Linked DNA regions of Mus musculus. The protein of the gene in region 2 interacts with the protein of the main gene of each other region in a pairwise test. Links are inferred from orthologs where the notes say so. Each region holds a gene or a part of one and is shown on either strand. Other genes may lie near its edges.

Region 1 (10,017 bases), on a different chromosome or scaffold from region 2:
TTAGCTGCAAAGAAACTATATTTAATTTAACTCATACTTTGCCCAGTTCTGAAGGGTTCAATTGTTGAGTGTGTCCCCCAAAGCTCATGTGTTAGAAACTGAATCCTGACTTCAATGTTGAGATGGAGGACCTTTAAGGTATGAAGCAACATTCATACAGGAGTAGGCTCAGATTTTGGAAATTGGTTTGCCATAAAGGTAGGCTGAAACCTGTTGAGTCTCATGATCTCTTGCCCACCCACGTTCTACCGTGAGATTATGTAGCAATGGGGGGAGGGGGGAAGTCCTCACAAAATGTGACCTCTTAATCTTTGTCTTCCAGCCTCTAGAACTGTAAGAGATAAATCTCTGTTCTTCATAAATCACCCAGTTTGTGATCTTTGGTTAAATCAATTCCGAACCAACCAAGGCATGGGTCTTTAAGGCTGTTCTACTCTAGGTACTGCTTCCAGTCAGAAATGGCCAGATCTTCAGGCCCACTGCATTCCCCTGGATACATACTAATCGTCAAAGGAAGAAGTCACGGCTGACCCAAAGTACTCCCATATCATTCCTTCCTGGACACAGGTCCCATTGGGCCTTGCTCTCTATAAGGATCTGAACTCATGGTTATGAGAAAGGTATCTCCAAAGGAGGCCAAAGAGGGCTCTCCTCTGTGCTTCTTCAGCACACTCAGGATTACATAGAAAGTAAGGAGCCCTAGGCTACATCAAGCAATGGGCATTCAAACTGCCCATTATGATTCTTCTATATCCCCTGTCCTAAGGTTGGAGCCTTACAACCACATTTGGGTCAAGTTGGGAGTCTGACACCTGTGTGCTCTTTCCTGTTCCTTCTGTCTTCTCTGCCATTCAACCCCTTCTCCTCGGGACATCCCTTAACGTCTTCCTTGCCCCCCACCCCCAATCTTCTCCCCAAGTAGATAGCGCAAACAAGTGTCACTTTGGGTCTCACACAACAGAGCTGTGACTTGGTTAAATTGAAACAGACAAGGGGACCTACCTCTCCTGGGAGCTTTAGGTAGGTGTTATCATTGGTTAAAAAAAATCACTTAGGATTAATGATAAGTTTTTAAAAGTCTAGCTGTAAGCATTGGTGATGCTCATTTCCCTGCAAATAGGCAGATACTTCAGGAGATTCCAAATTAAGAAATCCCAATTTCTAGGCTTACTGATGAAGGGGGAAAAAAATCACAGCTTCACAGTTGTACACAAGACTATTAACACCTGTGGAGGAACCCATTAAGGGACCCACTGTTAGAAGCCTACACACGTATAAGGAGAGCAGAGGGTGCCACCTGCTATTGCCAAGGAATAGAAAAGTGACTAAGACCCAGCACTATGCTTCTCCTTGTCCACCTTCAATCTCCACTGGCTGGAGCAAGCAGACCCCATCACCTGCCTTTTAACCAAGTCACAGTCTTGAGTAGCTTCAAGCATAAAAAGAAGACCAGATCCACCCTGGCCTCCTTGAGTTGCTAGTCCAATGGAGGAGGCATGGCCTGATCACACCTGGAAGGCACCATGGCGGTTGCTATGGAGATGTGAAGCACATCAGTGCACTGACACAGCCAGTCACTCCTCTTTCCCTGACAGTCGTTTCTGCCCTTGCTTTCTAGGATACTCTCCTCTTTTCCTCCTCCTTTCTCTTCCTGGCCCCTAAGTGGCTGCTGTGCTCACTTCCTGGGTGATGTAATCCAGAATCACATATTTATATACAAGCAACAGTTTTCTATTCTCACTTCCCAGACTCCCCACTGATCTCTGAATGTCACAGCCAGAAGCCTGCAGGATACCTCCACTAGTTTATCTAAGAAAAAACCAGCAGAATATCCCACTCTCCAGCCAGGTGTTTCTCCAGTGGTGGTTTCCATCCAGGCAAAGGCTGCATCCCTGACACTGAGCTCAGATCTAGCATTTTTTTTTTTTTACCCTGCCTCTTACCCAGAATTTACTTCAACTGGTCCTTCATCTGACCACTTTACGACCACCAACATGATACTTATAGACCACTGCAGAGCCCATCATCTGCTTCTCTTTCCACTCCTCTCCCAAATAGCAGTCAGATACCAACACACACCACAAAGCATCTTCAGGGGCTGTTCACTATATACAGAATAAAATCCAAAGTCCTTACCATTGCCTGCATGTTGAGGTTTGGTCTGCTGCTGTGTGTTATAACGCCCCTGGGATAAAGAAATCCTCACATACACCAAGTGATACTTTGTAACCAGATCAGTTACCCCTGATTGGTGAATAAAGATACCTACAGCCTGTAGCTGTGCAGAAGAGAGGTAGGCAGTGTTTTGGCTCCTGGGTTTGTGGGTCTGAGGCAGAAGTACACAAGGAGGGGGAGAAGATGTTGGAGAGAGGAGAAGAAGCCATGGGGTAGATGAGTCATGAAAACATGGCCATGAGGGCTGGTCAACTGGAGTTAAGAGCTGCCCAGGTGAAACATGGCAAGTTATAACTCAGGGTTATAGATAGGGGAGTAGAAACTAATAGCTTAGAGGACGGATATCTGCCCAGCTCTAGTGCTGATTAAAGGCTTATTATAAATACAAAAGTTTTGTGTCTTTTATCTGGGAACTGAAAGAAAGGGCAGAATAATGCCCTCCCCGCCTCCCGCCATTCTATTGAGATTAACTATTTACTACAAGGCAGGATTTCAACAGCTATCTGAGTGGGAGGAAGAGGAAGGAAAAATCAAAGCAGATGTATACAGCCAAAGGGGCTAAGGGAGCTTGTGGAGGGCCACAGTTTCCTAGGCTTGGAGGAAACAGGTAAATATCCCATAGCAATGCCCTAACCACGGTCAAAATTCACTTCCTGTTACATTCTGCTTTAGCCCCCTGCTGTTAGCTGGCCAACTCACTGCTCCTTCAATCACACCTAATTCATTCCAGCCCCAGGATCTTTGTGGTTGCCAAGCTCTTGGCCTTGAACAGAGTTCTCCATCCAGATGCCCTATGACCCATGCTTTTCCTTCACTCTCCACTTTGCTTATATGTCCCCTCCATAAAAAATGTGTTCTACTTGGCCATCAGGCATTAAACGAGCATGCACACGCCCCTCACTTTGTTCTCCACGGCACCTTAAAGTTGCTACCTACTTCTCCCTCTAAATGAAAAGTACATTAGAGCAGGAAATTTGACGCTCTTGTCACTCAAGGAAGACTTCTTGAATGAATGAATGAGTATCAAGGCATGCCATTTTAGTATTCTTTTTTGGAAAAGAGGACGGAATTTCTCCAAGATGGTTACAATAATGGCAAAGGTCCCAAGCAGCCTCCTGAGACACAGGCCCAAGAGAAAGCAATTTACTAAGAGGACCATCCACAGATGAATAACCCACTGGCTGCATAAATCTCAATGTAAGGAGCAATACAAAAGAGCAAGACAATGTGAAACCTACAGAGGAGCACATTAACTCTCTACAAAATAGCTCAGAGAAAATGCTTACCTCGGAAAGAGATAGAACTAAATTCCATATTTAAATACGAATTAGCAAGTAACAAAGTCTAGAAAAATACGTGTGCTGCCATAAGAAAAAGAATTAACAATGAAGCATTTGCAACTGCGGTTTGATGTGCTATTGTTAGGCAGTTAGGTCCCAGAGAACACTGAAGGTCATTGAAGATGAACCCCTGCCTCACAGTCAGCAGCTTGTAATACCGGGAACTGAGCCTGTAGGACTCTGGTTACTGGTCAAAGGAATGGGATTTGGGACATCCTGGCCCTAGGTGAAGACATGACTTTCCAAACTTCTCAGGGACCGTTTGATTGCTATCTAGAGGACATGATTTACAATCTATAGTCAGTAAAGTGCTTGCTACATAAACCCCAGAGCCTCAGGTCAATCCCCAGTACCCATGTCAAACCTAGGCCCAGGGGTGTGCACCATAAGCCCAGCTCTGGGAAAGCAGAGATAGGAGGATCTCTGGGACTTGATGGCCAGCTAGTCTAGTAGTCTAGAGAGAATGTGGAGCTCCAGGGTCAGAAAGAGATCTTTTTTTTTTTTTTTTTTTTTAGATTTATTTATTTATTATATGTAAGTACACTGTAGCTGTCCTCAGATACTCCAGAAAAGGGCATCAGATTTCGTTACAGCTGGTCGTGAGCCACCATGTGGTTGCTGGGATTTGAACTCAGGACCTTCGGAAGAGCAGTCGGCGCTCTTAACCACTGAGCCATCTTGCCAGCCCCTCAGAAAGAGATCTTGTCTCAAAAATAAGGTAGAACCTAAGGTGGCAAAGGGAACTCACCTCCCTCACCGTGGAAACAATAGAAAGTTATATATGTACATGACACAGGTTATATACACAAAATACCAAAGGATGACCCATGGTTTTGAAACCTGAGAATATTTGCTACTGTACAACTGGCCACAAAAGGTACCATCTGTGTTCAACAGGCTTTCTCTGTGTCTGTTACTACAAGAGCCTTCTCCATAAACAGAAGGCGAGCACATCTGCGATCTGTGTGTGTGTGTGTGTGTGTGTGTGTGTGTGTGTGTGTGTGTTCTCTCAGGCAACCTGAAACAGCTCACTGACATACAACCAGCTGTGGTTATAGGCTCAGTAACAGGGTCCCACTATATCCTCCAAACCAAGGAGGTCTGCCTCCCTACAAAGACAAAAGAGAATTCAAAATTGGGCAGAGTTCATCAGAGGGGTGCCCTGGAAAGTCGGGAGGGGAAGTTTCAGGACTCATGCATGAATAATCTCTAGCAGAAGCTGGAAGCCCCCTCCCCACCCCTCCACCCTTTCAGATTTTGTCCTGGCTGCTCCCAATGACACTTCTCATTGACTCTAAATTTTTACTGGCTAAGCCAAGGCCAACAAGTAATTCTAAAAAAATCATTGTACTCTCACCTTCCCAGGTAACTGGCCAGACATGCTTTCACATAAAGGCTCTCTTGGAAACCCAGGCAGAGACACGAGTTCCCCTCTACAGCTCTCCAGGATCCTGAGGCAGAATGGTCAACAGCAGCAGTACTTAAGCCCTGCTGACTCACCAGTGCCTTCTCTGTGGTCGGCTGTGGTAACTGGTAGGAGGGCCAGGGAAGGGCCTGGAGAACTGCTTCCGGCCCTGCACGTACCAGGGAATGTTCTGAACTGCAGCTCAGAAGCCACAGGGGTGGGGAGAAGAAAAGGAAAAAAAAGGAGAAAGGAAAGACAAACCAATCAGAGACAGACATGTCAAAGAGTATAAGAGCAGCCAGGAACATTACCTTGTGCTCAAGGAAGTCTCACAGGTGATAGTAAGGGGTGCTACAAACTTGGAGTTCAGAAACAACAGTTCCAAGAAGAGCCTTCTTCACCATGGAAGACTGATGGGCAGTATTCTGGTCAGGATGAAGGACTGGAAAGGGGTCTGGCACAGGTGAGGGAGAAGGGCTTTGGTTCTGACGAGGGTGAGGGAGAAGGGCTTTGGGTGCCACCTCCAGGCAGTGAAGGTATAGATGGATGACAGGGTCTTCTGGAGAAGTTGCCTGGGTAAGCTGAGGCCTGGCTTGAGAGACACTGCCACGGATAAAGGGCTGACAGAGCTAAAAGAAAATAATACAGTGTGGAAGAAGAATGGCCTCAGAGGCAAGTGTCCCTCTGACAGACTGGGCCTCTGTTCTTTGTTTCTCTAGAATTCACATCAAGGCAGCCGACAGAGTCCACCCACTCCATCAAGTCCAGGACACTAAAGGTCTCTCGTCTCCTTTCTTCAGAGACCTTTGCTCCTTCTGGAGGCAAATTTTACATTTTTACGCGGGAAACTAATGCCTTTAGAAGACCCATTTCTCTCAAAGTGCAGGTTCGTGGATTTTGCCCTCTGTAGCTTGTTTCTACCTTTCCTGAGCTATGCTACTTTATGAAGGGCAAACCTAAAGGGAAATGGGCTCTCATCATGGCATATGGGAAGCCAGGAGGCTACAGAATGAAAGATCCTTGTGAGGTCCCTTAATGAAGCACAAAGGAGCCCCAGAGGGCTCCTTCACACAGAGTTGATGGCTTCCTTCCTACTTTGAGGCACATTCTAAAGAACTGTGAGTAACTGGGCTCTTAGAGGAATGCAATGGCTGGGCCTACCTCGGTCTCCTGGCTGGATACTCCATCCATCTGGCAGGAAGCACCAACTTTGTCCTATTTGGCCACAAGACCAAGTGGACACAGTCAGGATGGGCATTTCTGCTTCTCTTCTGTGCTAAGTCAGACGGAAGACAAAGCGGAAGCTCAGCTCTTCTGCTGCTGGCGGAGAATTCCTTGACCTTAGCTCCTCTTTCCACACGTGTGGAGCTGGTACCACATCCTCTCTAGTCACTTTCCATGATCTGCCAGCTAGAGAGGCCTCTAAGCTCACCATGCCTCTCCTCTATTCTCAGAGCCACCACACCTTAGATAGACCCAGTCAGGGCCAGGCCCCTGGACATTCCATCACTCCCACTCTCAGGCCTAGAATAAGCCTCTCCTGGCTACAATCATTAGTACTTCCCTGTTCCATGGACTCTTCATATTCCTTCTTTCAAAGGTCTTGAAGTCACAAGAAAACATGAAACGGAGCTACTGAGCATTTAAGAGTACGTGTAGAAAGGCTCATTCTAAGCTAACTTTTCAATCTGCCAATAATTCCATCTATTCCCAAGTTTCATGACACTTGGGAGCAACCAAAAGAAAAAAAAGTTCACTTTTTCTGGAGCAAAGCTGATGAGAGGCATGAGAGAACATGTCCCCCTACTCCACCCCCCCAACTGAATTCGTAAAGGCTTCCTACAGAGCGAGAGTACACATCACCATAGACTGAGCACCACTGGACACTCAAGAAGAAACATTTACCATTTGGTCTCTTTTAATATCAGCATCTGTTTTAAGAAACCATCGAAATACTAAAGTGCAGTCAAAGGCCGTTCGTTGCTTTCGTACTGGGGCAGAGGTCAGGATGCTAATACAAATTTCATGGTTCTGAGCAGAAGACTGTACTGCCGTCACCACCCATCCTGGTGGGAAGGGATGAAAGGCTGGTGATCAATGAGTCAGAGGGCATTGAATGTGTGGTGAGATGGATTGTCTTAATGAATTGAGGACAAAGGAAAGAAGATCCAATTACCTACATTAAACAGAAAGTTCATTATAAAGAACAGTCTTGCCTAAGATGCTAAAAGCATCCCTGCAAAGAAGCACTGGGAAAGAAATCAGCAATTAGTGGACCTCTTCTAGTATCCCTCTTAAGCACCAATTAAACCTTCACTGGGAGTTGACAGCAGTGACCACAAGAATGTCTGCTCCAGGGTGTATGGGAGGAACAGGTGCCAGGTTTCTGCTGTGTCCGTCTGCTGGTGGTAAAGTACATATATATTGTCTATCTGAGGAGGAAGGATCCTGTCAGGTGCTATTGGCTAGACAGAAAGCTTAACAGTGGACTACAGACATGCCCAAGGAAAGAAAACATGCCTATCCTAATTTTGATTCCCTCATACATCAAAATGAGGTCACAGCTAGGACACCAAAAGTATCCTCCAACGTATGAGAAGGAGAAGCTATTTCAGATTAGCGAGGTCCTCACCCTGGTCAGTTGCCTGTGACAGTTGAAGATTTCTAGGTCCACTTCAGACCTGCTTAACTAAAACGTTTATGCTAGAGCCTGTGTATCAACAAGCTCTTCTGATTCACTGAATCTAAGAACCACTGGTCTAGAAAGTCTGGAGTTCATTTAGCAGCCAGCCACAAGAGGTGCTTTACAGGTGGGGCTTTGTCTCTACAAAGGTTCTGTTGTACTCAAAGAGGAAGAAAGGTGTCTTCACGCGTCTGTGGCAGCCAAATGACCAGAAGCACCTGGAAAAGGTCCTGAAAGCCCAAGAGTTAAGAAATGAAGGAAGGGGGCAAAGCTATTCTCTTTGAATAGCTAATGCACTGTTATAGCTCAACACCGGAGACATAGCCACGCCTACTCCCAGGTGCCTAACACCAACATGTCTTCCAGAGTCAGCCATAGCACCCGTCTCTTAGATACAGATGGTAAAGAAAGACATGGTTTTGTCTCCATTTTCTTACATATCAATGACAGCATATTATATATACTGTTTTACACATTGCTTTTTTTCCCAGTTAATATAGAAATATGCCTGTGCCATACTAGAAATATCTAGAGCCACCTAGAAAGTTTCTGAGTGTCTGAGAACATACAACGACACGGGCTGTGAGAGTCTTCCCTGCAGAGAAGGGAAGGCTGTTGGGCCACCACATGGTTTTTCAGTGAACCCTGAGTACAGAGCACAGCCTCAGGTCTCCATTTGCAGAACACTGGGCAAGCCCTATTGTGTGTTGTTTCATAACAGGAAGGTAACATGGATAGCCTCAGCCAGACCATTAAAATACAAAGTAGCATTACTGGATAAGACTAGTGCCGGGTGACTCAGGTACCCCAGGACAAAAGTAGAAAGGAGCTTAAACACTAGAGAAAACTCAAAGCAATGACATGACTTGAAACATTTTTATCTGTTAAGTTCAGTAACTATGAAAGAACATTTTATCTGTAAGAGTTAAAACCTGATGAACGATAATGGCACAAACTAAGAACACTTACTACTGGGGGGTAATTGTTAGGATGTGCCAGAGACCTGGGATGGAGGGAGTCCCCTGGGGGCACCAATGGAGGTGACTCTAACTGAGACTCCTAGCAGTGGGAGATATGGATCCTAAAGTGGCCAATCCTGTAGCCAGGAAGAACTCTTAGTGGAGGGATAAAGGCACCAACCCACCCACAAAACCTTCAACCCAGAATGTGTCCTGCTTACAAGATGTGCAGTAGATCAATCGGGACAAAGATAGAGCAGAGATGGAGGAAATAGCCAACCAATGACTGGCCCAAATTGAGACCCATCCATAGGACACTATTAATGATGCTCTGTTACGATTGCAGACAGGAACCTAGCCATAACTGTCCTCGGAGAGGCTCCACCTAGCAGCCAATTGAAACAAATTCAGAGACTCACAGCCAAACATTAGATGGAGCTCTCCGGAAGTCTTATGGAATAGTTGAAAGAAGAATTGAGGGAGCTCAAGAGGACAGAGCCTCCACAGGAAGACCAAGAGTCATCTAACCTGAACCCTTGAGGGCCCCCAAAGACTGAATTAACAACCAAAACGCAAGCACAGGCTGGACCTTGGCCCCCTGCACATATATAACAGATGTCTTGTCTGGCCTCAGTGGGAGAGGATGTGCCTAGTACTACAGTTACTTGATGTGCTGCGGAGGGATGTGGTGTGGTGTGTGAGGGGAAGATGAGAGAGAAATTGGGGGAGGATCTGTATGAGGGGGTACTGGGAAGAGAGAGTAAACTGATAATGGGCTGTAACGTGAATAAATAAATAAAACACTTAGCACTGGATAGGGCCAGTTTGCAACACTTATAATCAAGTATATAACACAAAATAAAATACACCAGATCCAATCTTGCACCAAGTTCTACTGCAGTAACCTTTTCTTCAAAATTACTTCTGCTTATACTTCCTTCAGCTCCATCAGGAAGGTGTCTTTCCTCTCTGATGTCTACTGAGCTTTTAATTTTTATTTATTTATTTTTTTTACCAATGTACCCTACAAAAGTAAAACATTAAAGTTTAAAGTAAATAAATATATAAATAATTTTACTGAAAAGGATTCTCATGCCATATAATTTATATGAGTCAGAAGGGTTTTCCTGCTATGGCCACCATCTCCTTGACAAATTTCAGACCACCCTCATCCCTAAGGAAGAAAGTCTATACTCACTGCTGCTCCCCACCTCCCCAAACCCCAACCCAGGCAATCAGCAGTCCACATTCCATTTCAGCAGACTAACTAGCACATGTAACACAACCAGAGAGTCAGAATCAATGACCCTGTGGATAAGTCTACATGAAATGCCCTCCACTCTCCACTGAAGAACAAACAAACAAACAAAAACAGGAAAAGAACAAACTTTTAAGAGCTAGAGCATAGTATCAGATGTTCTAAAGCAAACAGTGCATTCCAAATAAGCATAAGAA
Region 2 (9,960 bases):
TGTCTCAAAGCACTGAGAGCATAGATGCACACCACCAGATATGACTTCTTTTATGAGGTGTTAAGGGTCCCAACTGAGGCCTTCATTCTTGGTCACCAAGCATTTTATTTGCTGAGCCATCTCCCAAGCTAGCATCTGAGATTTCAACCTAAGCAGGTCCCAGCGTAGGGCTTACCTGCTAAGGTGTTTCATATGGCGACCACAAAGCACTATAGCAGACACTTGCAGAACCCTAAGTGGGAATGGAATCCACAGCTGCACATGAGAAAAGAAAGGCAGGTGACTGAGCTAACCCTAAGTCACTCCACCAAAATTCTCACATTTTTAGAATAAGACAAGGAGTTTCCCCATTTATATTAAAAGAAACAGAGGAAGAATGTGGCTTAATAAGTCACCCCAAAACACTCAAATTTACTTCTTTTGTATGAATTTCTCAAATGTATAAATCATAACAATTTTATTTGACAAATATCATGACTATAAAATAAGTACAATGTTCTGAGGCTTCCCCACATTGTTAAAAGAAAATGGCAATACTTTCCTGACATTTCTTAACCCATCATACAACTGTTTAAAACTACTCAGAGAATCTAATCTCTTTTCCTACTCCTGGCAGGGCTACAGGAAATCAATGGGAACACAGAATGCTTAGCATAAACCTTGGAACAGAGTAGACTTTAAAACTCAATAGTCTCACTAGCCTGTGCAAGGCAGGCTTTCCATATTTTCTAGTGTCACTACGATTGGTGGTGCACTAGAGGAATCTACACCATTCACTGACTTTACAGATACCAACCAACTACCAAAGGACACACCAGAATCTTCCCACTTTCTCTGGTTTCCTCAGTCTTCACTCTGTCTTTAGTGGTAAAACTCAATATGAACAAAACAAGATTGTCAATCTGAATGTCTGAAACTCAGCAGTTGAGAGGCAGAGACAGGATGATTGTTAGAAATTTTAGGCCACCCTGGTCTATAAACAAGATCCCGGCCAGCCAGAGAGATACATAGCAAGACCCTGTCTCAAAGCAACAATGACAAATTAAAGACAGACTAGTTTTAGTTATATTATTTTATTTTAAATCACACAAGCATGATTTATGAGTTGGAAATATCTCCCAACCCAACAGTCTTTTTAAAGCCATGTGAAAGTGTCACAATACAAAACATCCAAGTCCAAATGCCAGCAAAGACAAAGCAACAAATGCAGATAGAGCACACTGACAACAGATGGCAGCACCTGACCACTGAGCCTCTTTTTCCACTTGCCTGTTCTATTGAGACTTCCACAACTGCAAAATCCCAAATTAGAGTAGGCAAAATGTTCTATTAGGACACCTCATGTGCATTTAAAGTCATCAATGAATACTACGATAATGAGTCCATAGAATGTGGCAGTCCATAAGATGTAGTATAATAATGTGACATGTGACCATGTGACATGAAACTAACCTGAGACATCCAAGGTATGACATGGCATTACTTGAAGTTGTAAAGGCTGTGATAGAAATGAAGTTGGGTTCTTTCATGCTGAAAATTAGGATCATTATCAGCCATAAGAACAATGGTCACTCCTTTCCCCTGGCTGGCAGCGCCGCAGGATGCCTGGAGCTACTGTAAAAGACATTAACCAGCAGGAGTTCGTCAGAGCTCTGGCAGCCTTCCTCAAAAAGTCCGGGAAGCTGAAAGTCCCCGAATGGGTGGAAACAGTCAAGCTGGCCAAACATAAAGAGCTTGCCCCATATGAGAACTGGTTCTACACATGAGCTGCTTCCACAGCACGGCACCTGTACCTCCACGGGGGTGCAGGGGTTGGTTCTATGACCAAGATCTACAGAGGAAGGCAGAGAAATGGTGTCAGGCCCAGCCACTTCAGCAGCGGCTCTAAGAGTGTGGCCCACCGGGACCTCCAAGCCCTGGAGGGGCTGAAAATGGTGGAAAAGGACCAAGATGGGGGCGGAAAGCTAACACCTCAGGGACAGAGAGATCTGGACAGGATCTCAGGACAGGTGGCAACTGCCAACAAGAAGCATTAGATGGATGCTGGGTTAATAAATTGTCTCATTCATTAAAAAAATAAAAGAATGGTCACATAAGCACAAAATATACTTCAGAGTCTCTCACGTAATTAGTAAATTTGGTATTTTAAAAGAAATATAATTTGCACTTGTGTGATTTATCTAAAAGGCGTTACAATGGGAAATGCATTTTTACACGTTGTTTATAGTTTTATATGTATACACCTGAGAAATACTGTCTCAAAAGGCTTTCACAAAAGGTCTGCCAATTTTTCATACTAGCAATATGAAATAGATTCCTTATTCTTCTGTATCCTGTAGCTAATGCCAAAGAGACCTACATTAAAATGTCTGCTGTGTGCCATTACTAAAACATTTAATCTGTCTACAATGTACTTATAAAAGAGTAATTATACTTACTGTAGGATGCTTTGAGAATCAAAGAAATAACTCTATACATAGAGCATTCTTAATTAAAAGGTATCGTTATTGTTCCAAGTATTTCCCCATTCTCACACAGTAAGTTTTATTTATTTATTTCATGTTCCTCAGCAGGCAGGGAGAAGTATCATTAGAGAAAATAGCCTGGAGTTTTCTCAGTGTTCTTGCAAATATTGTATACAAAAATATAACAGACTGGCATGAGGGGTGGTAGGCAAGGAGACTGGAGAGATGGCTTAGTAGATAAGAGTATTTGCTGAAGAGGAATTTAGTTCCTAGAACTCACATAGTGGCTAACAGAATCTGTAATTCCAGTTCCAGAGGGTCTGGTACTCTATTCTGGCCTTTGTGAGAGCCATGCATGCTTATGATACACAGACATACACATACATTTAGGGCAAACACACACACACACACACACATTTAGGCCAAACACCCATCAAGCCTCTTTTTCCACATTCATGTTCTGTTGTGACTTCCAGAATTGCAAAATCCCAAATCAAAGCGGGCAAAATGTTCTATTAGGAAACCTCATAAACATTTAAAGTCACCACTGAATACCAAGAAAATGAGCACACAGGATGTGGCAACTGCTACATAGTCACATCTACTGCTAAGTAGCAGATAGTGGGATGTGTGTGTGTGTGTGTGTGTATAGGTAGGTAGATATAGATAAATTATTTTATTATATATTTATATATAAAATACAACCAACCATTCGAAGAGGATGTTTTATACTATTGTGTACTAAGCCTATGAGACAGTCTCTGACTAAACTCAAGGGAAGAGTTGCATGGTTAGTTTTACTTGTCTAAGTTTGCTGAAGTCATAATAGCTTTTGCTTGATGGTAAGCAGTCATGCATTGGAGTAACCAGAGTGCAAACTAAATCTGTTATTTCTTAATTCTTATTGGTACTGCTTTGATGAGAGGCACACAATGCCATGCAGACTTTGGTTGATGATTTATTAGAAAGGTCCGTCCCAAGAACAACTTCCGAAAGATTATGGACTAATTTTCCACATACTCCCGTAGGCGAGTCAGGAAGCACAATTCCTACCTGCCTACTCTAATTAGTCTGGCTTCTCCTTTCCCTTCCGGACAGTCTACTGTTGGTTTAGACAGGGGTGGAGTTGGAGAAGTGGAAGAGATGAGAGGCAGGACACAAAGAAAGCTCTTGATAAATGCTCTCAAATGCACGCAACACTGGAATTAAAAGTCGTGAGAGCCTCACTGTCTTACTAGTTCGGCTTGGATGAGGTCGTTTCATTAGATTTTATGTCCTCAGTGCCTCAATCGGGATATGTATTCAATGTTTATGAACATATGAAAATAACATGGGAACGAGCACAATACTAGTTTATAAGATGATTACAGCATCCCAAGTGGTTGCTTTAGAAATATACGATCTGTGATGCAGTAAGATGAGTGCTATGTACCAAGTGATAACACTTTCACTTTACCTTAATTGCCAAGTGAAGTAAACTTTGGAAACCTTGTTACCCAAGCAAGGTAACACCACTGAGGTGGGGCAGCTAGTATGTAATAATACATTGGCCTAGAACCCCAGCTTGTCAATCATAGAAGGAGGAACCATTGATTCAACAAAACTTGCTCAGTAGCTTCCATAGGCAGCTTCTGGCTGGAATGCACCGTCAGGTTTAGCAACATTAGCCAGTGTCCCCACCCTCCCGCCCTAAGAGCTGGAAATCGGAAGAGAAAACGTGGCTATTGCGCATGCACACACGGCCCTCCCCGCTCCCACCCGAGCCCCTTGACACCCCAGTAGCAACTTTGCTAGACGTCTGTGGACCGGTTCCAGGCCCACTGTGAAGCCAAACTGGCGGAAGCCGGTCCCCTCTGCGACGTGGAATCTTTCCCTTCCCTTCCTCCGGTCTTCCCCACTTGCAAGGGGCCACCTCAACCCTTTGCTTCTCAGGGTTTTGCCGGTCGTCAAAATGGTCGCAGACAGGCTTGTGGAGGCGAAGGCTTTTCATTGGCTAAGCTCTCGTACGGCCCCGCCCACTTTCTCCCTCTGGGCTGCGCCTGCTCTGGGCTCCGCTACGCACGCGCGGCGGGGGCGGGCCGGCTTGCGGGCGGGGCGGGTCTTCCGTGTCGCTGTCGCTGCTTCAGCCCCGCTTCCTTTGCTGCTCTGGAGCTGCGCTGCCGGCGTTGGCGGCGCGAGGGAAGGGAGGGGACCGGCGGGTGTGTGTCTGTGTGTGTGTGCGTGTGTGTCTGTGTGTGCGCGCGCGCGGGGGGCGCCGCGGTGCTAGCAGTTCCCCTCGCGCGGGGCGGGCGGCCAGAGTGAGCAGCAGTCGGCGAGGCCCTGGACGGCGCCATGTCGGCGGGTGGCCCATGCCCGGCGGGAGCCGGCGGCGGCCCAGGGGGCTCCTCCTGCCCTGTGGGGGTCTCCCCTGGCGGGGTGTCCATGTTCCGATGGCTTGAGGTGCTGGAGAAGGAGTTCGACAAGGCCTTCGTGGATGTGGATCTGCTTTTGGGCGAGATCGATCCGGACCAGGCGGACATCACTTATGAGGGGCGTCAGAAGATGACCAGCCTTAGCTCCTGCTTTGCGCAGCTATGCCACAAAGCCCAGACTGTGTCCCAGATCAACCACAAGCTTGAGGTGAGCCTCGGGGGCTGGCAGCAATAGCATTCAACCCCAGGCTGTCCGAGGTCGTTAGATCCCATTTAAAGCACTAGGAAAATGATCCTTAAAAACCTACCCACTGGACACCTCAGCTTCGAATGCGATGGAGAGTGCGTTTTATACGTGAGTGAAGCAAAGGAGTGCGGAGCGGGTGGGGGAGGAAAAGGATGCAGACTGATGTGTGGGTCTCCAGACGTCCTGTCATCCACCTCCCAGCATCTCATGCGGTGGGGACAGGAGCTAATCACACTACCTGCCTTGTAGGTGTTATTACCAAGATCTTCTGTCGGGGAATACCTCAACTCTCCTCTTCTGCTTTGATAATGACAAGCTAGATGATGTATTTTCAGACAGATGCAGCTCTGATTATTTTCATCCAATAGCCCAGATCAACGTCCGTGTCTGTACACAGAGACATGCATGAACTTAGGGGAATCCGATCAAAGCTCTTGGGGAAATGTAATGGAATATATATGTTCCTATCTACCTTCTCAGTTTACATTCACACTTGGCAGATATTACGGGCAGCTATGTCTTTAGAGCTGTCAATATTCAAATAACTTCTAGTATTGAGTGAGATGGTATGTCTTTGTATTTTACAGTATTTTCCCTAATTTCAGACCTTTGAGACTATGTAAAGACAATCCTTTGCTTAGGTCTCTAATCAGAGCAAGGGGAGTGTGATTGCAAACAGGAATTCCAAACCTCCCATTTTGTGTGGAAAATTCAACTAGGCCAGTATTACAAGATTTAGAAATTATGGTGTACTAACATTATATGGGAAACCTTTTAAAAATAGACAATTTCAGTAGAGAGTAGCTCTTTGATTTTAAAAAGGATTAAAAAAAAAGAGAGATACTTTGTTATGTGTGAAGTTCTTTGTGCCTTAGCTTTCTTAAGAGCTCCTCTTTACTGTTAACTGTAATAATGATAGGGCCTGTTGTGTACAGATTCATGTGTATGCTAGATTGGTTTCCTGTCCTTGCTTAGTGCTCAACAGTCTTTCATATTAGTTAGCCATGAAAAACATTTGCCACTAATATTTGATTAGCATCTTACATATTCAGGATGCTATGGTTTCTTTTTGGAAAGAGTGGGATGAAAGTACTTATGTAAAAGCATTAAGTGTAGATAAGGCTGTCTCTTGATTTTTTTTTTTTTTCTCCAATGAATGGTAATTCCTAAAGCTGAGTTTTCAGGTAGTATTTAGTGGCTTTTAAAATGGTATTTTAGCTTTAAAGATCAAAGATTAAGAGTAGCTTTTGCCAAATAACTTACATACCATCTCCATATTTAACCATATACTGGAGATAAGTGGCTTTTAAAACATAAAACAATTTTAACTTGTTTTTTAAATGACCTAAGGAAGCTAAACAATAGTACTTTCTGATGTTAGCAATAAGGTCTGATTTTGAGAAAAATATTTTTTTCCCTATGACTAGAAGGTATTCAAGTTTTTTAAATTTTTAAATAATTTGAAAGAATATTTCTCTACTAGACTGTGCATGTAATAACTTGCGTGTTTTTTTTTCCAGGAAATTATACTTACATATTCTAAGTCCATGTCCCATCTTAGGAAGTAGCATTACTTCTTAAAGTAAAGAATGCTAGCATATCACAGTGTGTGGTTTTCAGTATAATTGCAACTCTTGATTCAGAGACCTTAGAAATGATGAGGAGGATAATTTGGTTTTTCTGCTTAGTATATTCAACTATACATGATTCACCTGTGACAATTTTTATACATAAGACATCTTACATAGTTTTCGTATTATAACTGTGTACTGCTGTGAAAAGACTTATGGCCAGTCACAACTTTCCAAGTACACCTAGTGTGCCATATTCAGACTCTTGGGATGTTCTGTGAACTGTTGACAATCTACTGAGATCCTCAGTGTTAATCTTATAAGAGATTTTGGTGCTTTCTTACTCAGTCTTAATTTTGTCTCAATAAGTAAACTAGGCCTTCTGACTAGTCTTTAAGGATGCTGAAGTCATAGGTGACGCTGCTTGCTATCCGTGTAATAAACGTATACCAAGTTTAGTTGTTTCAGAGATTAGTACTTATAATAGAATGTTTTTATAGTCTCAAGACATGGATAACTCCAGGGTGGGTAATTTGTATCCGTAATCTCAGTCTTTAGATGGTGGAGACAGGAGGATCAGAAGTTTCAGGCCAGTCTGGGCCACATGAAACCCTGTCTTAAGAAAACAGATATAGATAAATGAATAAAACAAACAATACTTACACAAAAGGAACGTTCATATCCTTCCAAAATGCAACTTTTACTCTGTCCTTCTGTTTTTAGGTAATACTACATCAAATTAATCTAGTGGTTGGGAAAACACTTTTTTTTTTTAGTATAGAGTAGAGTTTATTTAGGACATGGGAAGGGGAGTTGAGAAGGAAGTAGAGATGGGGGAGTGGGGTTGGAGGGGGGAGAATAGACTGGACAGGAACACGTGGGGGGAGGAGAAAGGGGTCAGAGAGGGAAGAGAGAGAGAATAGGAGCTGGAAAACACTGAAAAAAATTATTAGTTCCCTTTTAAATTAAATATAAATGCCATCCATGTAGCAGCTTTTTGCAGTAAGTTATATTTGGCAAGAGATGTATATAAAGGACTACGTTTGAAGAAAAAAAAAATCAGAATATTTTGAGTTGGCACTATTTCAACTTAAATTTCTCAAACTTTTACCTGCCTGAGAGTTCCCGCTATGGTGAGACCGTTGGTTGAGGCCCAGCTAGAGTCACCAATAAAATAAGAGTAACAGTGGCAGTAATAGCCATAGAGGACCAAAGGCCATGAGCCAGTGCGTTAAAATAACTCACCTCTGTTTTGGAATGTATGCTCTGTTTGCTCCTTTTAAGAAATAATAGCAAAACAATACACCTAGACTGCACATGGTGGTCCTTGCCTATAGTCCCAACACTATGGAAGTGGAGGGGGGAAGATCAAAGACACCCTCAGCTATACATTGAATTTGGGACCATCCTGGGCTACATGACACCCTGTTTCCAAAATCAAAAAAATAAACCTTCTATTACATGTCTTTCTTCCACAGTAGCTGAACTTGTTAATGTCTCTTTGAAGTGATTTAGTGTGCAAATCATTACTAGAGAAGTGTTAGGCCTTGGTCAAAAGTTATGTTGACATTAAACTGATGATATACTTGATTTTGTGCCACTTTAAGTTTGTACTGTTGTATTTATTTGTTGGTGGATTGGTGTGTGGGTGTGTGTGCAAAGGAGAAAGTTCAACATCAGGTATCTTCCTCCTGTTTTGAGACAGGATCTCTCAGTGAACTTGGAGCTTGCCAATTTGGATAAACTGTGCTGGCCGGTTAGCCCCTGGCATGTCCTGGGGTGGCAGATGCCTGTCCGGGTCTGGCTTTTTACTTGGTTGCTGGGATCTGAACTTCAGTGCACATACTTGCATAGCAAGCATTTTATCAACTGAACCATCTCCCCAGCTCCATTATTTTTATTTCTGAAACAGGAACTCTTGTCATTGCTGCCTCCATCTCTGCTTCTCCTATCTCCATCTCCCTGAAGGAAGTACTCTCAACCCAAGACTGTAGTGGACTAGTAGAAATTAAGATAAGAGATACAGAAATACTATTTCACATTGTATAAAATCAGTGTACTAGAAAGTGGAAAGTATGATGGTGCTCATGGTGCATCTGAAAATCTGGGGAATTGTTGAATGTACACAAGAAGTGAGATGCCAGATAGATGTGTATTGGCAGGTAGCGAGCCAGACTTGCCTTCTTGCATAGGCTATGCCGTAGACTAGAGCTTTATCATAACAGGAGCAAACATTCTTAAACTAGATGTGTGTCCCAGATAGATTTGATTAGACTCTCCTGGTTATAAAATCCAAGTTTTAATGTAATAGGCTATCCTGGCAGAAAGTTTGAGAAAATAAGAGTGAATGCAAGAAACTCTTCAAGAGTTTCAAAGTATCCATGTGGCATTATGGTAGTATAAACTAAGTGATATATATAAAGTGTTCAGAGCACGAGAACCTTAAAACGTAAAATTCAACAGAGTCCAGAACTGGATTAGAGGGAGGGAGGGATGAAGGAATTTCGGACAACTTTATGATGCATTGTTCTTGTGTCTGGACAGATGGATCTGTGACATTATTAGCAATAGTGATATATAGCTAACCTTATGGATCAGTTACTATGGATTAGACTCTGTCTTAAATTTGTTTTTTACATATTCATCTCATTTTCACAGCAGTTCCTTAAGAAAAGCTTATAATTATTATGGAAAGGATGTAGGCGGCCCACACCAAGCTAAATAAATCATTCTGTACAAACAAATTGATGTTAGGAGGGGGTTGGGGAGACAGTTGAGAAGCATCCGGAAGAGGTGGGTATGGATGCATAGCTTAGAAAGGCAAAAGTAGGCTTCAGGGAAGGAATTACTTACTTTATTGTGTTTTTCAATGAAAAAAACTAAACTTGAACATGTTTATATTTAAGGGAAAAGCTGAATACTGTGGGGTAATATCAAGATGGGTAATATTAAGATGCTGGGTACAGATAAGACACAAAGAGCTGGCACAGTAAGTGGCTTTGCATTATTTATATAGTAAGGAGTGAAAGGTGATGAGAATAGATGGGGTGAGAGGGTTGCCAGGATTTCTTTTCTTTTTCTTTCTTTCTTTTTTTTTTTTTTTTTTGATTTTTCAAAACAGGGTTTCTCTGTGTAGCCCTGGCTGTCCTGGGACTCACTCTGTAGACCAGGCTGGCCTCGAACTCAGAAATCTGCCTGCCTCTGCCTCCCAAGTGCTGGGATTAAAGGTGTGTGCCATCATTACCCGGCTAGGTTACCAGGATTTC
Region 3 (10,023 bases), on a different chromosome or scaffold from region 2:
CTGGACATGGAGGCACATGTCTCTAATCACAGCACCAGGAGGCTGAGGCAGGCGTATTACCCATCCTGGGCTACGTAGTAGGTTATAGCTAGCCTGGCCTAGAGAGTGACCTGGTCTTGAAATTAATTAATTAAAAGATGAATTAAGATACCTATTTTAAAAATTAATCATTTAAAGCCCAATTCAGTACAGTCTCTCTTTTTTTTTTTTTTTTTTTTTTTTTTTTTTTGGTGTTTTTGAGACAGGGTTTCTCTGTGTAGTCCTGGCTGTCCTGGAACTCACTTTGTAGACCAGGCTGGCCTCGAACTCAGAAATCCGCCTGCCTCTGCCTCCCGAGTGCTGGGATTAAAGGCGTGCGCCACCACGCGTCTCTTATGACAATGCTTTAGTGTTTAAATTTTAACACTTGTACTGTTTAAAATTTCACAAAAATAGTTAAGGCCATTCAGTTGTGGGAAAAGGTAAAGTCTTCAGGCTGAAAAAAGCTTCAGAGATGAATCAGTTAAAACCTTCGGTTTTGCACAGGACAAAAACAAGATCTGAAAAAGCCAAATTAAATCGACATCTCTATAGGTTATATGTCATAGGAAAGGCCTTATTTTAGGTTAAATTTCTTGTCCCAAGCTCTAAGACTAGCTAGTGGCTCAGGCAGCACGGGGATATTTTTTATCATATAGTGGACATTTCTTCCCATAGTGTCTATGATGGTAAATCAGGGGTCCCCATCCCCATCTAAAGACCTCAGCTTGTAAGAGAGACAATCCAGTCTGGTTAAGGGTCTAGATTAATTAGGAACTCAGTAAATCTACTACATCATCTGCAGGACGAAGAAAAGAGGGACAGGAAGGGTCTAAAATCCCTCAAGGAAGACCTGGGCTTTCCATTGGAGAAACTACTCACATACGTGGGGGCCTGGATCCTGGGCATCCACTGCCTGCCTGGATTGTCCCCAGCTTCTTTTAGCTATAGCTGTGCAGTATCAGAGTCTCCTCTTTGCCAGGAAGGCCGAGATGAACCTGCTGTCCTCCTTCCCTCTGAATCCTGGGTCTGCTCGTGGGCACCAGGGTTCCTTCTCATGCCGTCCCTACTTCACGCTGAGACTTAGCTGAGATATGTATTCTGTATTTTGGGGGACCCAAAATCTCAAGAGGCTCATGGGATATTGGACAGGACAGCAGAGTGTTGGAAAAACAGTCCCAGGACTGTAGGTGATTGCCAAGGAAAATACGATAGGCATAACGAAGTGCGTTTCAGAGAAAACTCCATCCTAAATATTGATAAATACTGAAAGCTTTATCATTGTTTGTTCAAAATTAAAACTGAACAGGGTGTTCCGTATTCCTGTTTGCCAAATCTGACAATTCTACACTTGTGGGGAGGGCAAGGCTGGGCAATGCCAGGTACCAGAGTTAGCCTTGGTTTGGGCTGATTGAGATGGGTAACAGAGAGAAATGGGAGAAACAAAACAAAACAAAACAAAACAAAACAAAACAAAACAAAACAAAACAAGGAAAGGCATTGTTTCTTTTGAAACAAAACCCACAAAGGAACCTCTCCATTTTTCTTTTTATCTGCTTGTATTCCTGTGTGGGCCCTTGACCCAGAGAATGATATGAAGAAAAAAACTTCAGAAAGTTACACCAATTACAAGAACTGGATTACGAATGAGAAAAATGAATTCTGTAAAACGTGGTCGATTTAAAAATAACAACCGTATTGCGTCTAAGCAAGCTGCCCTCTACTCGCCCACCAAGGCCACGCAGCCTCATCAGCTCACTTGTTCCCACATGATCTTTACACCTCCCAGGAGCCACGGACAATACCAGCGTGGCCTAAGAAACCACATCATTTCACCTGGACATCTACAAGCTAAGAAACCAAGGTCTAGAAGGAAGCCACGGGCGATTGATGATCCCACTGCTATTCGTCCTGAGCACTGTTTGGCCAGGGCTCACCAGCATGTCAATGTCCTAACTCAGGTACTTGTGTTATCAGATTTATCTCTTCTAAGCACCATGAAGTCACCAGCATTCTCCACGTATGAGGCACGTAAGATGCAGAAGAGCTATGATGCTGGCCTAGGTTAAAGGTCATATAGCCAAAACCAAAGAGGTGATGGCTTGAAAACCCAGCTAGTCTGACCGAGACCCGCACATTCAGCCATGACACCCTGCTTCTGCTAGGTAAGATTAATTAACATCACTAAACATGTTCACAGATGTAAACATTCTGAGTCCCAAACTTTCATGGCAGGTCAGTCAATCACACGTCTACTTGTAAGTAGGGAGTTGGTAAAACATGGTTGCTGCCCACGCCAGTTTCAGAATGAGAGGGACTGTCTGGAGATGGTGGACGAGTCCTATCACAGCAAGCCCATTGCTATAATCGTAAGACAGTTTACTTTCAGTTAGTTTTGAAACATTAATTTTAAAATCATACTACCAGGATCTACTATTGAAGTGAATATTCACTGCTATATACGAAGTTTTAGAGTTGGCAGCTGGAATCCCTCAAGAAAGAAATGGGGGTGACTGAGAGGGAGGGAGGGAGGGAGGGAGGGAGAGAGAGAGATATCAAGGTGAACAAGAGACCTTCCTCATTCATTTTTAGACAGAAAGTGAAGCAAAGTCCCCTAGGCAGAGGCAGTTAATACAAGGCCAGGCAGGCCTCAGGGCCACATGTCCACCATGGTCACTCTGTCCAGGAACTATAACCAGTAGCCATCAACTGATTTACAATCTTACAATAATGTTTTTCTTTCTCTTGTGTAAGATTATCAAGCACAACACCTAAGATGCGCAACTGGCTTTGTCTGTCATCGATTCCAGTCCCCTCAACTTTTAAATCAAAGCTTAAATTAAGCTTCCTACTTCTGTATTATGCTTCGACAAACTACCTTCCTTATGACAAAAATGCCTGAAAAACGTGGGATTGGTGCCAGGCAGTGGTGGCACATGCCTTTAATCCCAGCACTTGGAAAGCAGAGGCAGGTGGATTTTGAGGTCAGCCTGGTCTACAGAGTGAGTTCTAGGACAGCCAGGGCTACACAGAGAAACCCTGTCTTAAAAAAAAAAAAAGTGGGGTTGGACTTCTTCAAAGCTCCAGGATAAAGATTCGCAGGGTCCAGGTAGAGACCTCAGGCCTGCACAATCCACTGAGTTAGGGGTTAAAATAGTGCAAACAGTTTTCCCTCTCCACCATATTTCAGCTGAGGAATTCCTTGATAAGTCTGTTTTGCAAGCCCACTATCAAGAACATCACCAAATCCTTTTAGAAATGATCCAGCAGCCTCTCCCTGTCCCTCCGTCTACCCCATTAAACTGCACGGGAGCAGTTGAAATAAACTCAGCTTTATGCAAAAACAAAAATGACATCCTTGCTCCCTCAGAAAGGTGGCAGTATTGCCTTGTGGTTTTGAGCAAATTACCAAGCATGTGAGGTCTCTGATGAACAAACTAACCACCTCACCTCAACATGGAAAGGACAAACGTGCATGGCTGACCCCGGTGGCTAGTGGTTAGGAGACACACCCCAGGCCTCCAGAGGCACTGTGGCTCCTGGCCACTTCAGCTCTTAAGTTTTCAACTTGCCTCACTAAACAATCCTTCAAGAAATCCCCAGAGTGTCCCATCCACACCTAAGGATCAGGAACAACTGAGGTGGTTACAGAGGCTCCTTATGGCCCATCACCCACTGTGCACAATTTCTGAGCCACTCATTTCAAGACAAACAGTTGAGTAGCTCCTTCAGAAGGACCAAGGGAATTGACAGAGTGAGTGGCACCAGCATCAGCCAGCACCTGTTACATGGAAGGCTCACACCAGAGCTATCCACCAAAATGTTCGTTCTTAGAAGGTGCCCTGCCATCATTGAATGGCCCTGTTACCACTGTTATAAAAGCAAGAATGGGCAAAGCTAGGTAGCCCTTCCAGGATGCGAACGAGGGAACACAATCCTGCGTCTTCTGTAGGCCCCCACGTACCCTTTCCTTATACTCACCTCTCCTGAGTGTCCCTCCAGAAGTTTCTCTGTGTGCCACTAACACAACAATTTTAGGGAAAATTGTCCATTTATAAATATCAGATGGTTTGGGAAAAAATATTTGTGGCGCTGGTTTTTTTCCCCCATGGTGATGTCATTTAAAAATTCTTGGTGTGCTCCAAATTCGCTATTTTTACTTCCTCCAAGTGACTTTTTTGGGAAATACATTTGTTTGGATTAGCTACATGTTAAGTGACCCCTAGACGTCTCACAGTCCTAGGCACATTGTCTCAGCGGTTGTAACTGATAACGCGCCCACTCTATAACTTCAGATCCTGGAGTTGCCCATTTCAACACAGTTCCTTTTGGGTCGTCCCCTTAAAAATGTCTATTTACCGATAAAGGAAAATATAGTAAAATAAAGTAAAACATTGGATTATTCGTAAACAAAACTCAAACTTAACACAGGTCAAAGGGAAGACATTTGAAGGCATTCAGTCAAACACAGTGTTCATTTTGGGGAAACAGAGGGAAGGCCGCCACCTCAGGCCCGAAGCATTCATTGTAAAGCAGTTGAGTGGTAGAGATGAAAAGTTTAAGGAGTGCTGAACGCCTTACTCTACCTGATCGGAACTTCCTTCTAATCAGCAAAGAGTGTTCAGACCCCAGGAGTGTCATGGTGAGTCTCAGCAAGCCGCTGGTCGTTGGCCAGGCGCCCCGCTTTCCACCAGAAACTGGCTCCCGGGAGCCCAGAGGACAGCAGCTAACAACCCAGAATTCATCCAACTCTTGGGGAGCTCCCTTGGGTAGGAGGACGCACAGTGGCCGCCAGTGTCCCCAGAAAACTGGCGCCTCCCCCCTCGCCGCTCGCGAGGCTAATTAACTCCCAGCAGGCAGGACCCTCCTCCTCTGAGGGTGGCCGGGAACAGCCGCATCCTAGGCGTTCCTGGCTGATGTCATAGGCTGCCAGCGGTCGCGGAGTACCGCCACCACGCCTTTATGAAGGTCCCAAGTTTGCTATCTGATCCTCTTTACTACTGACAGGAGATCAGCCAATCAGGAGCGGTGAGCGGGGCCTGGGGACCAGACGCGGCCCCAGGAGTCTTAACAGCCGGCTCTTAACTCTTTGCAGAATAGTGCGCCAAGGCTGCTTGCCCAGGCGGGAGTCTCTGCACTGGCACCCCTAAATCGGATGCCCGAAGGCTGCAGGCGGCGCCCGGCGTGCAGGTGGCGCCTGGCGACGGTAGGAGTGTATCTGCTTGTCCTAGGTGTGCATGTCCCTGGTGTCCCCAGCTTACTGCAGGGCTCTGGAAGGTACATCTCCAGAACGCGCTGGAGCCTGGGCCAAGAAGCTGGGTTGGCTTGCAACTCCCGGGAGCACCCGCTTCCCCTCTGTATCCGAGCGGTGGTGCTTCAGGAGACCGATGCCTGGAGCAGCTACTGAGCGGCTGAAGAAGTGGCAGAAAGTCTTTCCCTGTGGTTGGATGTTCTCTTTGGATTCACAAAAAGTTTGTGTCTGGGGACTGAGCCCAGAGTGCGATTGGTGCAAAAGTTGAGCGTACTATTGAGCACTCAACAGGGTAGGATTCGGTGGCCTGGGCAAGCCAGATCGGAAAAGTGCAGAGGTTTTTCACGTCCCTTTCATAGTGGGAAAGGGACCCAAAGAGGCGCTGAGGATGCGCGTCTCTGGGGTGCCTGGGGTGACAGGGTCCCACGTGCATCATTAAGTACAACACATGTTCTAAGACAAAGATTTAGATAGTTGGAAAAAAAACATTGAACTGCATACATACAACACACAATTTGCCACTATTTGCAACTTTATATGCACGTGAGCTCCCAGATACAATTCTTTACATCTCCCCTTTTGTCTCAAAGCTGTGAATTCTTGAAGAGAATGACAATGACAGGTGGAGGCCTAATGTAACAATATCTGTTAGGGACTAATCTCTGCCCTGATCCGGGGTCTTCTGCCTCTATCAACTGTTGCTGAAGACACCCTAGGGTGCCCAGACCTTCCTTTTTCCCATTCTCTGGGTTGCACCAATGCACTTGAATCTTGGAATTCGTTTTCTGAGATAGGTAATGCTCCTCCTCACTAAATCAGAGAGGAGGTGGAGCCCTGCTACTCAACTTCCTCTTGTGAATAGGGTTGGGCAGTACGAGCCTACAACAGGCTGCCTCCTGTGGTAGCCTGGCAGTGGTTGTGCATTCCACAAGCAGTGCTGAACTGGGCTGTTCCTGTGGGAACAGATCACAGCCGCTTTAATGGCTTACATCAATCCCGATTCATTACCTTGCAGGTTTGAAGGCTGGGAGTCAGAAACTGGTCTCACTGAGTTAAAAAAAAAAAATCAAGGTGTTGGCAGAACTGTGTTCCCTTCTGGAAGCTCATGAAGAGACTCCATTTCCTTTCCCTTTCCAACTACTAGAGGCCACCCATGTTCCTTGGCTTCCAGCCTGTTCTTCCATCTCCCAAAACAGAAATTGTGGGTCAAGTTCTTATTACATCTTATCAGTCTAGCTCCTCCCTCCCCACCTTCTGCATCTCTCTCTGAGTTAACCTTACTTTAAGGAAAAACTCTGTCAGGCTAGCTGATGATGAATCCTTATTCCCACTTGCTATGCAATGTAACATAATTGCAGATGCCTGAACTTGGAAGTGAAGGGGAAGATGTTGTATTGTGTGTTACATAGAGAAGGTCTCTCTCGTCCCAGCTCATCAAAGAAGAGAAACACAACAGAGGAAGGACTGGGAGGGGTCAGGCCCGCATGTCTAGAACAGCCCTAAGCAGGGTTGAGATGCATGGGGCAGGGGCGACTCCAGAGAAAAGAGGTAGCAGGATAAGGGACATCACAAAATTATCCCATGGAGGAAACTCTGTGAAACATGAAAAAGAAAGAATAGAAGGAAAGACCCAAAGGAATGTTTACACTGAAGACAGCAAGGCTGAGGAGATGCCCACGGCAACTTAGTGGGGCTTTCTTTATTCAGTGGGAGTTGTGATAAAATCAGCTGAAGGATCCAACCAAGGGTCTTTCTGACCCAGAGGGACGGAGGGGGTTGGAGTGTGTGCTTGTGGACAGGACCACAGTCCCTCTTTTGCTGGCTTTCTTTTATTGTTATTTAGTGAGATTAGTGAGATGAGGTCTCCCTGCCCTAGGATTTTTTTTTTTTTTTTTTTTTTTTTTTTTTTTTTTTTTTTTTTTTTTTTTAGTTTTCATCTCAAAAGGAGTTTATTCATTAATCCTTAAAGTAATATTTTAACTAATTCTTCAAGAATTTCATATTATCAATTTGGATCATATTCATGCTCCCTACCCCAACCCGATTCGATTCAGATCTCTCTCCACCTTCCTTGCCTCCCTACCCATCCATCTCTGAGCTGCCCTTGAGGTATTGTCTTCCTCCTCCTCCCTCCTCTTCCCCCTCCTCCCCCCTCCTCCTCCCCCTCCTCTTCCCCCTCATCCCCCTCCTTCTTCCCCTTTTGCATTATTTAAAGCCATTGTGTTAGGTTTGTGTTGTTTAGCTGCTCTTGTGAGTAGAGCCTGTTCAGGTTGACCACAGTCTTGCCTCAGCCTCTGGAGTGCTAGAATTAAAAGAGTAGAGCAGCATGCCTCCGTTCTTATTTTCGCTTCCTGGCTTTCTCCCTTCCTCTTTCTCCCATCTCTCTGTCTCTTGGTCTCACCCCACCCCCAGCAGCTCCATGGATGAGTTGGGAAACCCTGATAACCACAGTTCTCCTCGATTTTTCCCATCAGAGAATAGAGCAGCTGACTTCTGCCCTCCGGGATTTCTAGCCCTTATGGCTTTGGGATATCTATGGATATAAATATGTGCATTATAGAGGCTCATCCTTTGCCCTCTATGCTCAAATATTTTTATGACTTTTTTTGGTGGAATTTGGACAGGCTGTTCCCCCAGGAGAATGGAATCTCAGACAGCTGCTGTCAGAGTGTAGCCTAGCAATGTAGCAATGGCTGCTGCTACGATCTTACTCCTCCATGATGATTCTTCAGTATTCTTCCCTTTTGCTATGGAACTTTGCTTCAATTTATTTTACTTTACTGCTAGTCAATTAAAAAAAAAACTGTGTCACAAATTATAGTAACATGGCATGTAAAGACATGCACTAATGGAGCCCACATGCAAGGATGCTCTCTCAAGATTGTAAATTCTTATATAGGGATGAAAAGAATACATTATATAACTATAAGGTAGAACTAACAATCTTTATTACTAAACTGAGAGTGAGGATGCTTGCCTGTAAGCCCAGAACAGGGGAGGTAGAGGCAGGAGGACCAGGAATTCTCTGTCATCCTCAGCTAGAGAGGAAATTCCAGACCAAGGCCTGGGGAGACCCTGTCTAAAAATTAAAATAAAACAAAGAAAGGAAAAAGTCTAAACAGCAGCAGCAGCAGCAGCAACAATAACAGCAAAATTCATTGTCCTTTTTTGATGCTTCCTTGCCCCAGAGGCTTCAGGACAATGTGCTCATGGGTCTGTGGTGCTATAGGTAAAGACCATCATTGCAATAGACCATTCCATTTTTACCAAAACAAACAAACAAGCACACAAACTTCATTGTTACCGAAAACCATACTCTATTCATACTAGTGCCATTTGGCATTCTCAGCAGGCCAGCACATGGTTAAGGGGAGGTAATACTATATAAGGGGACATGAAAGTCAATGCCGGCTCACCTTAGAGCTCTGTCCTCCATAGCTGTGCTTCTCAGCATGAAGGTTAACATGGGAATGGTTGTGTTCATAGGCCTGAGCCCGGAGCATGGCTCAGGAGAGTCAGCTTGAATTCGGATCCTTAGAGGCTTCCTTCCCTGAGTGCAACATGAAGTTCGATAGTGGGTCACAGGCAAGTGCAGCGTGGTCAGCTCTCCTGGGTAGGTCCAGGACCTGCGTGCCTCCAGGAGGAGGCTCCGTCTCAGCGTGGTAGCTGGAAACCCGGCTGAATCAGTTTTCACAGTGATCTGGAAGAGTCCTTGGTTTGGATGTCTCCTGCTGTCTATAGTCTCTCTTCTTCCTTTCACAGATCTGACCACTTCTTCTCCCTTCACACACTCTGAGAACGCATTCTAGGATCTGTCTGTGTCACCAAGGTAAGTACCTGCCTGTCAGGCAGATTTGCAAACTCAATTAACTTCAGTGGGAGGAGAGTAAGAAAAAAAACAAACAGACAAACAGACAAACAAGAACATAGAGGTGAAGGGTAGCATTCAACAGATGGAACACCTGGTTGTTTGTGTGGTCCCAGGCTCTCTGTGGCCACTTGGGAGGAAATATAGACCTATACCACCCTGCTCCACAATGGCTCAGAGAATTGGAAATCCAGGGTGTAAGACACATTGGGGTTTTGAAAACACAGTTAGCTGTAAATAGCAACAAAGTGTGTCCTAATATATGATTGGTTGGACTGCGGGGAAGTTAGGTTATTTAAAAAGTAAATATGATGTTTAGCAAAAGAGCGCCTGCCTCGGCAGAATAATGCCCCATGATGACCCCCACCAACTGCTGCATGGAAGGCATGGTCCCTTCACTGCCATCCTCCAACAGTGGGGCAGAAGTAGCCAGGTACAAATGCTTGCTAACTGTCTCCTCTTCCAGATCTAGGAGAATCCTCTCAGCCATTAGCTCCTTGAAGCACTTCTGGGGCCTGTGCAGGAGGAGGTGGGCTCCAGTCTCTCGGCTGCATTAACTTCTGGTTAAGAGAACGTGAAGACGTGCTCATTGCTCCGCATGAGCCCATTTCTCATCTCCAGGCTGACTTCAGGCTGAGAGGGAATTTCATGGCACTGTTAGCTGCCTCAGGGCCGCAAGTTAACTTGTCACCTTTAAGAAACCGCTCAAATGGAGCTAGAGAAAGTACCCAAGGAGCTAAAGGGATCTGCAACCCTATAGGTGGAACAACATTATGAACTAACCAGTACCCCGGAGCTCTTGACTCTAGCTGCATATGTATCAAAAGATGGCCCAGTTGGCCATCACTGGAAAGAGAGGCCCATTGGACTTGCAAACTTTATATGC

Evidence for each region. The genes of interacting proteins can lie anywhere in the genome.
Region 1: the proteins of Gopc (region 2) and Mylk interact in binary tests that used the Homo sapiens proteins (3 or more experiments, as listed by UniProt). The two-hybrid records come from large-scale screens. The link is inferred for Mus musculus from reciprocal best matches to the Homo sapiens genes GOPC and MYLK.
Region 3: the proteins of Gopc (region 2) and Myocd interact in binary tests that used the Homo sapiens proteins (3 or more experiments, as listed by UniProt). The two-hybrid records come from large-scale screens. The link is inferred for Mus musculus from reciprocal best matches to the Homo sapiens genes GOPC and MYOCD.

What each region holds. Positions count from the first base shown.
Region 1 is NC_000082.6:34,779,883-34,789,899, reverse strand, and holds the start of Mylk (myosin light chain kinase, smooth muscle), read right to left. Parts: upstream 4,951-10,017; 5' UTR 4,897-4,950; coding exon 4,873-4,896; intron 1-4,872. UniProt on the Homo sapiens protein: Calcium/calmodulin-dependent myosin light chain kinase implicated in smooth muscle contraction via phosphorylation of myosin light chains (MLC). Also regulates actin-myosin interaction through a non-kinase activity.
Region 2 is NC_000076.6:52,376,735-52,386,694, reverse strand, and holds the start of Gopc (Golgi-associated PDZ and coiled-coil motif-containing protein), read left to right. Parts: upstream 1-4,570; 5' UTR 4,571-4,796; coding exon 4,797-5,084; intron 5,085-9,960.
Region 3 is NC_000077.6:65,265,040-65,275,062, forward strand, and holds the start of Myocd (myocardin), read right to left. Parts: upstream 4,951-10,023; 5' UTR 4,660-4,950; coding exon 4,605-4,659; intron 1-4,604. UniProt on the Homo sapiens protein: Smooth muscle cells (SM) and cardiac muscle cells-specific transcriptional factor which uses the canonical single or multiple CArG boxes DNA sequence. Acts as a cofactor of serum response factor (SRF) with the potential to modulate SRF-target genes.